Struthio camelus: one gene and its partner. The protein of the gene in region 2 purifies or fractionates together with the protein of the main gene of each other region. This does not show direct contact. Links are inferred from orthologs where the notes say so. Each region holds a gene or a part of one and is shown on either strand. Other genes may lie near its edges.

What was found. The genes of interacting proteins can lie anywhere in the genome.
Region 1: the proteins of CLGN (region 2) and SLC30A1 purify together in Homo sapiens (co-immunoprecipitation; 3 studies listed by BioGRID and IntAct, with this or other methods). This does not show direct contact. The link is inferred for Struthio camelus from reciprocal best matches to the Homo sapiens genes CLGN and SLC30A1.

What each region holds. Positions count from the first base shown.
Region 1 is NC_090944.1:113,829,762-113,837,501, forward strand, and holds the start of SLC30A1 (proton-coupled zinc antiporter SLC30A1), read right to left. Parts: upstream 3,068-7,740; 5' UTR 2,967-3,067; coding exon 2,342-2,966; intron 1-2,341. UniProt on the Homo sapiens protein: Zinc ion:proton antiporter that could function at the plasma membrane mediating zinc efflux from cells against its electrochemical gradient protecting them from intracellular zinc accumulation and toxicity.
Region 2 is NC_090945.1:33,019,078-33,026,664, forward strand, and holds the start of CLGN (calmegin), read right to left. Parts: upstream 3,047-7,587; 5' UTR 2,885-3,046; intron 1,050-2,884; 5' UTR 1,041-1,049; coding exon 879-1,040; intron 1-878. UniProt on the Homo sapiens protein: Functions during spermatogenesis as a chaperone for a range of client proteins that are important for sperm adhesion onto the egg zona pellucida and for subsequent penetration of the zona pellucida.

The sequences.
Region 1 (7,740 bases), on a different chromosome or scaffold from region 2:
GTTAGTATGACCTATAGCTTTTGCCACTCCGCTATCATGGCTATGGTTCTGTAATCATAAAAGCGTCTACAAGTTGTTTCTTATTTAAGGAGGAGGTGGGTTCACAACAAAGAAGGCTGAACGGAAACGTTCCAAGCCCAAGATTCATTACGCCGTATATCACACTTCAGTCCTAAAGCTCCAGCTACATTTTCCATACAACCTCCAGAAGTTATGGAATATGGAAATATCACTAGAACCTGTAACTTTCCAGTAGAAGTCAATAAATTAGAGGAAGATATCTGAGGTTACAGAGTTCAGACCTCTGGCTTCACAATGAGAACAAAGACGACCTTTTCTGACACTGTGCAGTGTACCAAGTGCTTGGATCAAAGCAGATTCGGAAAGTCAGTAGACCTATCCATAAGGGGTGGATGACAGGAAATACAGTTCCAGGAAGCTCTTGAGATTTTTTTTTAATGGCAACTGGTTAAAATCCGTCAATTTGAAATATGTCTCATTTTAATTTAACTATAAACTGATTACTTTATAGAAAGTGTGTGCATAAAGATTACCTGCACAGTACTAGCCCCCAGGCTATCATTCCATTTCCACTTCAACCTTAAGAAAACGGGGCTTACCCCCATTTGTAATTTCCAATGAAGGCATAATGCTACTGTCAGTCATTTCCCTAGTCTTCACTCACACATCTTACAGCCTAAGACTTCAAGCACCTGTAACATTTTCACAGGTTAACCATGAATAACTCAATCCATAACATAATCATGACATGGCCTAGAGGACATACACACTTATTTGAAAATTTAACACATGACCAAAACTATGTCCTATTACATACTAAATACCCACAGCAAATTATTCTCTATTGCCAGAACTATATTCCTGAGAAACTGCAGAGAAGTTAGCCGAACACAATGTATACTTTAATCCATACTAGAATTCAATCTTTTAACAGAGAACTAGTCAAAAATTTAGCTAAAAGCACAACTCAGGTTTCACTATGCAAGGACAATGCACGACTTTAGATATCAATTAGATTAATGGCCAAATGAATTTTACATTGTTTGAAACTAATTATTAGGATACCTACCTTGCGACCGACACAGTATTAAGAGGCTTATTATGCAGTCAGAAAAATGGTGTAATGTATTCAGGAGAACTTTCCTATCCTCTTTCAATATCTGACTTTTCAAAAGCAACATGGAGCCAAAATACTAAAGAAAAGACAGAGAGAGGAGAGAGAGAGAGAAACTTCTAAGTTTCTCAAATGTGTAATGGAGCCTCTGACCACAGAAATACCAAAACTGTATCAAAGTTCACTCTGTACAAGTAAGCTCAATTTAATCTAAAACAATGGTCTCCTGATATCACCCTGAACATAAGGGAGAAACATGGGCACTGAAACCCTTTCCATGCTGTAACGGGGTTGTCATATGATTAAAGTAGGGAACTGGTAATTACATACCTTTCACTCGGCTAGTAGGCAGCACTTGGCTTTGACCAAGTGACTTCAGAATAAACTGTCCAGGCCTTTGGAGTCATTAAAAAATAATGAAAGAAATTCCCTCCCACAGAAGAGACAGCATGATCAGAACTGGGGACATTTTAAGTTTATGTATGCACGCAAGTGAGAGGGAAGCTGCACGCAGTAGGGAGCTAAAGGAAAACTAACTCAAAGAAACATGCCTGCACTTTGAAACCAGCAAGCTCCACATTCAGCACCTATTATATGACTTCCACAGTTCTGACTCACATTTCCAAGATTTCTTCCTACTAATAAGCTTATCCTGAAGAAGCACAACACTGTTATAATGGAAAATACTTCAATATGTATACTTCACTTCAAAGTGAGAACATTTCTCAGGTAGCTAATAACCAACTCAAGAGATATCTGACTGTCAGGACCAAGGTGTTGAGCTGTACTCTATTTGATGTACAGCCAGTTCAGAAGGCATTAGGGCAATGTCTTGTGACAGCTTGTGTTGCTAGGCAGAAACATTTGTCATGCGCCTTCTCCACCAGCATCAACTTTTCCCAGGGCACACTGGGTTATCCTAAGACTCCTCTGCATGCTGCCCTGTCTACAAGACGAGGACACAATTTAAGGCGGGCTTTGTGGCGCTTGCAGAAAATGCGTAGAGGTGCAACTATCGTGAGCCCCAGAGCACCGACAAGAAACTTTCTTGCCTCTCCCCTACTAGCAAGGAGATGGTTCCCACGAAGCCTGTGTCAGGTGGCAGTGGGGTGCCCACCACTTTCCTTGGGGAAAAGACCTCTCCCCTTTTCCCGACACGTCTATGCTGGGCGGAATGGGAGGGGGCAGAGGTGCCACAGGGCTTACCTAGCTTCTCCTGGCTGACTCCGTTGGAGCTGCTGCAGTTCTCCACCAAGGTGCTGGTCTCCTCCCGGTGCAGGGCAGCATCCCCGTCCGCAGGCGGCTGCTCGGGCTTGGGGCCGCCGCGAGGGTGCTGCCTGCCGCTGTGCGAGTGCCCGTGGCCGTGGCCGTGGCCCCCGACTCCGTGGTGGTTGAAGAGGCAGAGCCCCAGCAGGTTGATGATGAGTCCTGCCACCCCCACGCCGATGACCACGAGCGGCTGCTGGATCTCGTGGGGCTCCGTGAAGCGCTCGATGGCCTCCAGCAGGATGGTGAAGCAGAGGGCGGTGAGGAAGACGGCGTTGACGAGGGCGCCCATCACCTCGGCCCGCACCCACCCGAAGGTGTTCTTCTTGGTGGCGCGGGTGCGCTGGGCGAAGCGCACGGCCACCAGCGCCACGACCAGGGCCATGACATCGGAGAGCATGTGGAAGGAGTCGGAGAGCATGGCCAGCGACGACGTGACCCGGCTCACCACCACCTCCACCACGAAGAAGAGGAAGGTGAGCGCCAGCATGCACAGCAGCCGGGCCCGCCGGTTCTGCCACCACCGCGGCCCGCCCGGCCCCTTCGCCGCCATCCCCCCGCACATCGCGGCGGGGCAGCGGCCGCCGGCGCGGCGCGGAGCGGAGCAGGCGCGAGGAGAGCGAGGAGCCGCCGCCGCCGGCGGTTGGCGCGGCCAACGGTCCCTGGGCGCGGCGGCGGAGCCCCGAGCGCGCGCGCGGCCCCCTCCCCGCCCCCGGCGGCCCGGCCGCCGCCGCTCCCTCCGCAGCCGCTCGGCGAGCAAACTTTGCACCCGAGCCCCCTCACTCTTTCCACACGGAACCCGAGCCGGCACGGCCACGCCCCCCCGCCCGCGCCCCATTGGCCGCCGCCCCCCCCGCCCGGCGGCGCCGGCCCGCCCCCGCCCCCCGCCTCTCCCGCCATTGGCCCGCTCGCCCTCGCGACGGCCGGCCCCCGCCCCCCAGCGCCGCCCGTTGGCCGCGGCCGCACCACGGCGCTGGGCGGGGCCGGGGCGAGGGGGGGCGGGGCTGCGCGTGACGTAGCCGCAGAGCGGGCTGCGGTTGGCAGAGCCGGTCGGCTTCTCTTCCCCCCTCCCTCCCCTCCCGCGGCGAGCGGGACTCGTGCAAAAGGTGCGCTTCACACGGCCCCGGCCCGGCGCGCGCGGGGGGGCGGGGCTCGCCTGCGGGCGGGCCGCGCCGGGCGGAGGGAGGGGAGGGGAGGGGGGGCTCCGCTCCATTCCGTTCCATTGCGGCGAGCCACGCGAGGCGGGGTGGGGGGCCTTTGTGACGTCACGCGGGGCCGTTGCGGGCAGCAACGGCTGCCCGGGGGCGGCCGGGACCCGGGGGTGGCGGCGGCCGGCTCTGCGGCCCGGGCCGGTGCGGGAGCCCCGGCGCCGCGGCCAGCCGGCCCCTCCGGCACCGACCGGCTCTCTGTCGGCGCGGGCTCTGGCCGCCGGCCCCTCGTCCGCCGGTGCCTTCAGGCTGCCCCCTCCCCGCGAGCCGCTGAAGCCCCTCCTCCCAGCTGAGCTTTTTTTCGTTCTGTCGGACGACAAACGCGAGAAGGAGCAGCGCCTTCCTCGCCGGTCCCAAGGCACCGGGGAAGGCTGCAACCCGGCCACGGCCCCTCTGCACCTCCCACCTCCCCCCCCGCCTGCTCGCAACCGGCAGTCGAGCAGCACCCATCCCCAACCCGGCCAAATCCCTGCTCCCGTTTAACAGCTGCCACAGGCTTCACAGCGGTACGTCCAGCCCCGCGGCTATCGCTCGCAGCCCAGCTCTCGTCCAAGGCCCCCCCGCCGTCCTTCCCCTAGCCACACCTCGGCGCCGGGCTCTTCTGACCCCCGCGGTCCGCCCCGTCCTGTGAGCGGGCGTCGCTGAAACGTTACGCTCGCCATGAGTTGGGAAGAAAGTAGTGTTACGCTTACGTCTAACTCCCACAAATGCAACAGCCCCTTTCCCCGCTCCCCGGCACCACCGTGCAGCCAAGTGAAAGACTCCGTTGCTAGCCTGAAGTTTTGGAGCTGTCAGTGAAAGCAAAGCAGAAGGCGAGAGCGGTGCGGTGACAGGTGCCGTGGTGCCCCTGTGTTTCATCGTTCGCCTCCAGCAGCCTGAGCGCCCAGGAGTTTCTGCAGTGGCTCCCACTGGGCAGAAAGAAAGGTGGTTTTCCGGGAGGCAGCTGAGGCAGGATGATGTTTCTTGCAACTGGCTGTTAATTCGATTGCTCACGCAGCAGCAAAGTTATGTTGAATGCATTACATACGTTATTCTTGTTAATCTGTGATCTTTCCTATGCCCCCTCACACTTTATTGCACCCGCCCCAGCCTGAAAATCACCAGCCAGGCACTGTCATCACTGAGTGGTGAGTACATCTCTGTTCTGGGGTACGGACACGTGGTCTTCCATCTCCATTAGTTGCTTCTTCCCTGTACAGAGTTCTAAACTGTTGGATAAGTGTTATTAAGATTTTTAAAACATATGACTGGGAGTAGCAAATATCAAGAAGTGGCATCTAATTACTTCACTCATTCCTGTATGTGGTATAAGTCAACAACTAATACAAATTTAATCAGTGTTTTGATATCATCATTCCTGAGCATCCTGGATGCTCCTACCCTCTGCATGGTAAACATCCAATTTTTCTCTTTTTTTGCCACAGAAAGCAATAGAATGAGTGGTGAGGAAATAATAATTAATGAGTAATCATTTATGGTTAAAAATGTGGAGAGAAGAAGGAAGTAATTTTTCTTGAGGAAGTTTTGAAAGGCTGTAATGTCACAAAAAAAATGTATATATATATATATATATATATATATATACACACACACACACTAACAGATAAGTCCCTAGATACTATTCATTTTATTGAATGTGTTGCAATTAAAAATGAGAGAAAAGGGGAAACAGATGTTTAAACAAATATTTTGAAACATCTAGAAAAAAATCACAAAAATGTAAGAAAAACGTACCAAGAACTTCTGTTTCATATCCTTGAAATGGCAGCAAGTTCATCATTTTACATCTTTTCATGAATTTGTTTTTCTGTTTTTAGTTTGTTTGAGCAGGGCTTAGGACTTGTGTGCCTCAGCCCACTGCAGTGAGCTGAGCAGCACATTGAATGGGAAGGGTCCAGATGAGCTCCAGCGATGACATCTTACTTTATCTACCGTGTTCCACGGGGCCAACCAACAAGGTAGCAAGAAATTGTCCAAGGGCGTTCCATAAATGGAAAATGAAGCGAGAGGAAACAAACTGCCGTAGCTATTTGTAGCTGTACAGCTGTAGCTGTATGTATGAGTATATGGAGGCAATGTGAAAACTATGATGCTCCACAAAGAAGATGTAACGAGAACACAAAAGCCTCTTGCTATGCTTGGAGTTTCGGAAGGGACCATGATTTAGGGTCTATACAAAGGTCCCTGGCGGCTGGAGCTGGAAAGCTAGTTTCATCTCATTAGTTAAGTGGCGGGAGGCGTTGACACTTCCACAAGAACAGATTATCAACAAGCATAACTGAAATCTGTAGCTCAGGATTGGCTTCCGCTACACTCAGCAGACTCCTACTGAATCCACATCTGTCTCCCTTGTTGCTCTCATCCTTGCATGCCATTTCCTCCTCTCCCCTTACTCTGCAGTGTCATAGTCTTTACAACATACACACAGCTTAGGCACTACAGTTGCCACAGTGCTGACCTATGGCCCTGAACCCCATTTTCTGTGAGACTGTTTATATGTCAAATGTTTTCAGTTGTTCAGCTGTAGGAAACCATATGGAATGCTTTAATGACCACCGTAAACAGTACTGGTAAGAGAGGCAGTAATTAGATATAACTATATATAACGTTCTTTTCATGTACCTCTCTTCCCGTATGCCCTAATACCATTTAATAAGATGTTATTTGTAGTCAGGAAGCTGACCATCAATTATACTAAAATGGAACATGCCCATGTTCTGTCCTTCTCGCCCCCACAAGACGCCATTAGTTAATAAGGAAGGATTATCAGAATTTAGGAAATATAGGTCAAGAAAACTACTGCAGCTCAAGCCCTTTAAAATTCCTGCAGGTAGGGAGGGTTATCATTTTACAGGGATTCAGTGTTGAGCCAATGGAATTTAACTAGGGAAGTGGGAAGAACAAGGAATTTCAAAGTCTGATGTCTCTCACGTGCTGGACTTCGGGGATTACTGAAACTGTTAGTTGGTTGCCCCAGTGATGTCGTTACAGTCTTCCTAACGACTGGAAGTACCGGGTCTCTACCTCAGAGATATAGGATAGCAATAAAGCAGTACCATCCTTACCAATAGAACTTAATCAACATTGAACACAAACTTCATGAAGAGTTTTGCCTGACTTATAGGAAGGGGGTTATGACTTTTTTTTGTATCATTTCTTATATAGTAACAATATCCAGATCGGTTTGTAATCCCTTTAACATCTCTTCACCACAAGTCCTCCTAATCCACTCGAGCATACCATACGAGCGCACAATTTGCTGCCATCTTCTCCTTACAAGATGGCATGTTCTGCCCTTGCCCAGGGATAGCCTGCCTGTCTTCCTCCTCCTCCACCCTCCACCAGGCTGAATTCTGAAATCCTCCGGGGACCAAAAGCCACAAGACATGGACTATACACCTCAAGGGAGTGGGAGGCCATGAATCCTTCCCAGGCAGGAGGTGACAACGTATCCTCAGGCCTTCTGCTCCCTGATGAGCAGGGCTGGGCGTGCAGCTTTGTCTCAGGGGATCCCGGTGGACCCAGCCCCTCCGTTATCTTGGTTCCCTTCAAGTAAAGAGACTTGGGTACCTGTAATCCCCGACGTGTGCCACTGCCCAGAGTGCCGCTCCTGGATGTCAGGCACAGACCGGCAGCTGGAGCAGACATGAGCTCGCATCCCTACCTTCGCCCTGGAGTCTTTCTCATAAACTAGAGTGCGCTACACTGTTCTTCCCAGGCTTTTCTATTGTGTTACCATACATTAGCAACCAACAGGAACAGGGACGGTTCCTAAATTTAGGACTGTCCATGTGGCAACCTTTTAAATTGTAGGTCTAATAGGAAAGTGACTGATAAAGGTCACCTTTATCAATCAAGTCTTTACCCAAAGCAAGCCATAAGGCAGTGTGCTTACAGGAGAACATTTTGTTCCTGCTTAAGTATTTGAGAAGAATGCTATGTCTTCAAAGCAGGGAGGGCTCCGCTTTTTTTTTTTTTTTTCTTAAGGCTTCCAGGCACTGTTTGTGACTCACCCAGTTCGTCTCTCGGTTCACCTTCCAGTCCACGCATGTGGAATAAGCAGCTTCCAAATGTATTTGCTTATTGAAAATGTGTTCTGAGGGGAGAAGCAACTCTGAACCTCCCATGTGC
Region 2 (7,587 bases):
ATTTAGATATTTAAGTTTTACTAAGCTAACTAAGCATGTTTGTAGAAGAAAATGCTCGGACAGTCCTTTCATTTTTCAATAGGATGGAGAGCTTGGAAGTCTCTTCTCAGTTTGAACATATAGCTGCATAAACTTGTAAAAACAGCAATCGACCCCTGCATTTAAGCAGCTCTAGAGGAACAAAGATAAATTACAAATCAAAGGGGGAAAAAAAAAACCCAAAAAATAGAAAGTTTACTGAACTTGCACCACTTCTCTGTTTCTTCCCTATTTCTTTCTATACAGATTTGTCACTCTCCCCCACAGTCCTTTCTATTTGGCACATAATAGTTGGGCTGCGCAGTTAAAAACAGAAAAAAAGTGTCCACATCTATTATGAAGTACAGCATAACAAATGCTGAAAGATCTTCTGAGAGTAAACAAAGAAATAAATAAAGAGGAGGTAAGACAGACAGTTGTGACTGATGAAATTAAGAACCTGTTCTGAAGTCAAAATGAGAATAAGCACAAGCAACATTTTCTGCTTTCTTCTCTATAAATGCGTGTTAGGCTGCAAGGTATATTACCAAGAATGACTTAAAACTAAAGGCTCCAGCTCCAGACTGAAGTATAGACTAGTAAGGCTTTTTTAAGGACTATCTAAGTACAGGTAGGAAATCTGATTTTCCACTTTCACATAGTAGAGTCATTCATAAAGCTTGTCCTCCATGTCTCACACAACAACTGAAAAACCTCACCTTTGTGAGTTTGTCACCCATGTGAGCTGTCAAATGTGTGCAATTTGCTCTTTCTAAAATGCGTTTGTTTACTAATTTCTATGTTAATTATAACTATCTTAAAATTAAACAAGATTTAACTAAAGACATCTATAATCTTACCTCTAAGGAAGATTCATCTTTGTCAACATTATTATCTTCTGACTGCTTGTCAAAATCCTCCACTTCAACATCTGTATCTCGATTTTCTTCATTTTCAATTTCTGCAGTTACTAGGCTAATTATCAGGACACTCAAGCACAGCCAGTCCCACTGGAAGTGCATCCTGCTTATCTGAAGAATTGAAAATTGTAAACTATAAATATCATTGCAAACTATCAATGCTAGTTCAATTTTACTCAAGATTTTAGCTACAAGAAAAAAAGAACCATATCCAAACAAGATATAAAGACTATAATCATTCTATTCCCATTCTTATTATTCTCTCGCTATTCTCTCATGTTAGGAAAGTTCTATACCTTAATATTAAATTTCTTTTTACTGTACAATCCTAAGACTTTTTTTTGCCTTCCCCTTCTCCCCAAGGAAGGGCTTGTAGCCTGATCCCTTACCTTGCCAGGCCAACAATGCAGCAAGAACACGACTGCTGGATGTATGCAATTTTAAGAACTAAGAATGCTTTTAATTACTCATTCCTTATCAATCTGAACCAGTAATCAAATTGAATCAATTTCTATAATTTCTATAAACCAATTTCTTTCTCCTAAGGCCCTTCCCCAGCAAATCACTCAATTTCTATGGAATACTGGAGAACGTAACTATGTCAATTGGGGACCGCTGCACCATGGCATTTCGTATATTCTACGCATGCTATTAGATTAAAAGCACGCATAGAAGGCTATTGTTACTCCTTTTGATGCAAGAAACTAAACATAATGCAGGATTTTGTGGATTACCAACTTTTCAGTGCTTTTCACTGTACTCTGAAGAGTCTTTTTCACAAAACTATTTAAACTATTTACAAGAGCAAAATTTGCTTTTGTCAAGCGGAACGTGAAGAAAATTGCCATGAAGAGCTTTGCTCACTCAAAGGTCTAAAGGTCCTGCAAGCAACATCAACCACCATAGGCTTTTCCCACTGTCAAATACTAGTTCCATCCAGGTCGATGGGCGTTCCCCTGCCCTTTCATCTATAACCATATATCACCTCACTCCTTCCCCATACAGCTACATGCACATGAATCTGCCCAGACATCATCCAGCTGAAACTCCTCCATGAAAAACACTCAAGCTCTTACAGAACGTTTTAGTTTCCTTTATTTGGGATGAAAAATGGTACTTTCCTATCTTTTACATAGATCTTAAAAATGCTGTGGTAAGATGAGTGTGTTAGCAAGATATAACCCAAACTGTAATATCACATTTGCGTAAGTCCCTCCTCAAGCAATTGCGTTGCTACGTTTCTCCTGAGTAAAACGGCCAGGAATACGCTTCTTCCTCAAGTTTAAGAGGTTCGACTCATGCGACCACCGGGCGTTCAGGTGGTGCCCGAGAAAAACCCAGCGGCCGTTACCTTGAGGCAGACGGCGGCGGCAGGAGCCGCCAACGCCGCCCCCGGGGCAGGCGGCTGCTGCGGCCGCAGGGCGGCGCGCGGTGACCGGGCCGAGGGGAGGCGCCGGCCGCCGCGGCGCCGCTCCTCCTCCGCCGCCTCCCTCACAGCCGGAGTCGGGCGGCCCCGGGGCTCCCCGCCGCACCGGGAGGGCGGGGCGCCGCGGCCCTGCCTCGCGCTCCGAACGCTGGCGTCGCGAGCGGCTAACGGCGAGTAACGGCCGCCCGGCGCGCGAGGCGCACCCCTGCGCGGGGCGGGGGGGGGGGGGGGGGGGAGAAAAGAGGAAGGCACACGCGGCCTCGGCCGGCCCCGCTGCCCGCACCGGCGGGGCGGCCTCTCCCTGAGGGGCGGCGGAGGGAGGACGGCCCCCCCCCCCGCGGGACTCCCGCCCCTGCGGCCCTCCTGCCTCCCCTTGCCCTAGTTACGAAACGCAGCGACACCAAAAAAGAGCGACCCCCCCGCGCCCCTGTTCAACCCCCGGGGGCAGCCGCCGCGCACGGCCAGCCCCCGCCGTAGAGGCCGCCCCAGCACGCCCCCCTCCCCGCGGCAGGCGAATTACCGGCGACGAAATCCCGTCCGCGACCCGCTAGCCAAACCGGGCCGCCTTTCCCAGGGCATCACCGACCACGGCTGCGCATGCGCACCACCTCCCCCTCGGCGCTCTCAGGGATGCAGGCGCCGAGCAGCAGGTGCAGCCGCTCGCGCCGCTCAGCCCAAGCCAATCAAGGCTCCGCAGGTGAAGCCCTGCCCAATCCGCGCGCGGCTCCAACGGACCGAGCGAATCACCACCTCAGCGAGCGGGAGGGCGGCAGCCCTAGCCAATCAGGAGCGCCCTCCGCGCCGCGCGCGCCAATCGAGGCTCAGTCCGCGGATGTCGGCGTTCCCGCACGTGGTCCCGAGCCAATCGCCCAGCGCCGTGCCCGGCGGGGGCGGGGGCGCGCGGCGGGGGCGGGGGCGCGCGGCGGCGCTGCTGTGGGGCCGTCCCACCGTCCCGCTGCAGTGGTTTACACCGGGTTTTACGTATGACACGTTTGAGCTTGTGATAGACACGACGCTTACCTTAATAACGCATCCCCAGCTGAGGGAAAATAACTGGGGGAGACGGCAAATCTACTTGAATTGCCTTGGAAAGTCATAAATGTGCGCTCCAGCACGGCATTTTTCAGGCAAACTTATCCGTCGTGGTACAGCATCAGTCATTTATCAGGCTGGATAAAGGCAAGGCTTCTTTCCGTCACTGACTGAAACAATTTAGTCCACATCAACCAAACCCTTTCCAGAACTGGAGAATGAGTCTAGCCTTGCTTTCTGCATTTGAGGAATAGCTAAGTGGAGGCACTGCTCCCTTCATTCCAAACCCGTTCCTTAAAGCCTCCCCCGGATCCCTTATGTACCCCAGATACAAGGTTACTACCCTTAGCAGCTTCCTGACTCAGCTTGATTCACAGTCATATCCTTCCGTTCTGGAGAGCGAACAAATCATGAGAGTTCAAGACATGATGCAGAAAAACAATATTTAAAACGGTGCAGGGGATGGCAGAGACAAAAGCAATTCCTTGAGAGATCACTAGGAACTTTTCCGCACAGCAACTGATAAATGAGATTTCAGTTTAGCAGCGCTTGCATGTGACGCTGCATCACTTCACGATTCGCGTTGTCAGAGGCTGCCTCCTCCCCAAAGGCTGCCTGGGTTGTAACGCTCGTTTCAAGGTCAGTGTTCCCCAGTGTCTGTGAGCTGAATCATAAATGCTGTATAATTACAGCCACTGCCTTTCATCTGGTGCTGTTAAATTTCTTTAATTTGCAACCCTTCACTAAACACTGTTTTAAAGAAGTACACGCCCCACGCACCCAGGGCTGTGTTTCAGTACCAGTCACCCCCTCAAAGGCAGGTATATTTCACTGCCCACAGAAGTTCGTATCGCGGCACATACGCAGAGCTCTTCTTTCTATTGTTCACGCCAACGTGTGCCTCTTTGAAAGAAAAGCAGTAAGGAAATGCCAGGAGCATTGATGGAAGCATGGCTGTAAGTCAGAGGATTTTGTTGCTCAGGGCTCTACGCCCCTTACAGCCAGTGCTCGGTCCACAACCATCTATTTTAATATTATTTTATTCTTCCCACGTTTAAGAAACAGTCTTTAAGACACAGGCGTATGGCCTGTACCCCCTCAAGCTAAGCTTCCCCCATACAGATACAGATTTCTCCAGCTGGTATTCTGTCTACCATGTATTAGTCTGCTCACTAGTATAAATAACTCAGAATTGTTCAGTTACCATCAGAATATGTAAAATACTTTGTAAATCCAAATACTAATGTTTTTGCGATATTCTGCCTTTAGGCATTATATGGTCATTATAAACTAATGCAGATGAGTGATTTTTTTCATTTGATGGTGTCGTCGAAGTCTAAGACTGCTGCAGGTTATTTCAGTTACAAGCTGCAAACAAGTTAGTCTTTACAACTTCAACACAGTGAATATTCATCTCTTCACAAAAATAGAAAAGCCATACAATTTCTTCTCTTATTAAGGCTTAGGTAATGATGATAGGAAAGATCTGCTAAGGCTTAATTCAAATATTTATTTAGTATACTTTTCAGAAGTTCTACCTCAGTTCTACAGAAACTTAAATCTGTAAACATCTTTAGCTAAAAAAATTTAGGAATGTTCTTGTGCAATCCATCATCAAAAAGACAGATGAAAACTATCCCCGCAGCTTGAAATACACATGCTTTAGAAGCGATTGCAGAATTCAAGATTTCTGCTCACTTCAGAATTGTTAATATTGCTACTGTTCAGTGCAAGGCATCTATGTAAGATGCATCTGGGATCTCACATTTATTTAAATATGTAGTAGTGTTTTGGGTTTTTTTTTTAAAGCATCCCATGCAGCAGTCTCAGACAAGACCATTAGTTTGTACAACCAGTAGGGCAGCTAGCTAACAGATGTGTGACTTATGAATAACAGTAAAAGTAAATGTTGGGGAGAACTGAGATCCTTGAATATGGAACACATTTACGTTCATTCATATATTTGGGAGAGAAGATTTTAAATTCAATAATTAAATCCATCTTAAACTTTGGATTAAAAATCTCCTCATTAATTGTAATAGATACTCCTGTTCAATAGTCTAGTCTCTTCTCAGTGTACGCCTAGCATCATTAGCATTAACACTGGATGTGTACTTGTATTAAACTGCAAAAGGTCATAGTAACAGTGATGAGATTAGGGTCCCACATCATTAATGGAAATAACAATATTTAAAAAAATTATTAAAACCAAGTTTATAATTGGCTTTTGTCTCAGAGACAAACCCCTTCCAAAAGTCCCTCAAAGGCTCTAAACAAGAATGCAGAGACACCAATCAGAGAAATGAGTAACTGCATTTCAGTGGATATCAAAATGGATGGAATAAACATCATTAATAGTGAAATAACCTGAAAAATGTGCTTTCTTCCCATACATGCATTTAACCTGATTATTGCTATGTAGAGTGAGCCTGAGGTAGTTAGTATTTTGGAGACTATATTTTAAACCATATGAAAGTATTGAGGTAAAATTTCCTACCGAAAAAGCTCAGGGATCTAGTTTGGAATTAGAACGTCCTTTTATATTTTCATTTTTATCTCCTGCTTACCTTTTTTTGTGTTGTAATTTACAAACATAATATTTACAATGCAACAAATAGCCATCCTTAACAGATGTTCCTTATCCCCCAGATCAATGATCTGAACTGAAAGTCCTTACGAGCTCATGAGGGGGCTTCATAACAGCTTTTACACTGGCCTCAGAAACAGTGTGCAAAAGCTTGTTCTGGTTTGACACAAGAGATTAAATGGAAAATCCCTGCTAGGGACATACTTTCCAGGTCAGAAGGAGGACTACGTATGATCTGTAACCACTTCATGTGTAACAAAGATTTCTATGAATAAATCCAGATAACTCACTCCAATGTTGGTTGTTGATGTTAGCAGGTAAAAACACAGAGGCATATTTCCATTACATGCCACTGTCTAAAACTTATTGGCACTGTAACACTCAAAAATTAGATATCGCTTCTTCAGTGAAAATCCAGAGTTCCTCCTATGTGGTGCTTTTAGTTTTATAGTAGGGCTGTGATTCTGCAGATTTGTGCAAGACAACATCTGCACATCACAAAGCACACGGAAGAACGGAGACTAAGCAGGATCTTACTTAACAGTGCACATGCAAGCATTCAGTATTTTAACATTTACAATGCTCCTGTATGTCAAAGTGATAGGCAATGTGTTCTGGGACTGCAATGGTTTGAGATATATAAAAACATAAATAGACTAAATGAAAGACAAAGCTGGCAGGGCAAAATGAAAAAATTATACTTACAGAAGTCCATGCATTTCATACTATAATTTCAGGTACTATGATGAGCTTTTTGAAATCATGCTTCAAGAGTTGCAGTGAAATATCTTTTCAGTGTTAAAATAAGAATATTTAGTAACAAAATCTTTTCTACTACCTTAGTATTTTCTGTGTTTTCATTGATCAATAATTGATCTGAAATTTCCTCCAATGCGATGACACTTCCCTGTAACAAATGACAGGCAGTCTGAATGCAAACCCTGCTCCCAGCCAGTGACTTGGTTCCACTGAAAGCAACAACAAAAGAGAGGACTTGGCTTTTTTTTTTTTTTTTTTTCAAACCAGATTATGTGCTTAATTAGCAAAAGAGTCTAGAAGAGATGCTCTTTCTACTTAAATCATACTTCAGTAGTGGGAGCAACAGGCCTTATAAAAGGGCAATTCAGATGACAGTTCCAGTAAATTTACAAAAATTGTAATTGTTTGGTACCATTCTGAAGTGTTTGACAAGATCTTTAAGATGAAGATAATCTCTGTGACACAATATGATTTCCATGAAGGTACTAAAACTTATGACACACTAAGAACTGAACTAAGATCTTAAAAAAGAAGTACAGTTTAATAATTTTCATACCCATAAAGGCTCCTAAAACCCCACAGGAAAAAGAAAGCATTCTCTAGGTTATATCTGTTCCTTTGCCTTTTGGGGTAAGGGCCCTATTCACTTTAATTTTATTTTCCCCTGCAAAGATGCTAAAGCCTTTTAAGGTTAGAGTTAAGAGAAGAATGACTTAAGAGTACTTAACTTTGTCTTCACTTAATATAATCTAAGTTGTGTTTTACGCCTTAGTTTAAGTTTCTATGATTAGGTGTCAGCCTGACTCCTGTTATCAGTAGAGGAAAAAAAAAAATTATCTGAATGG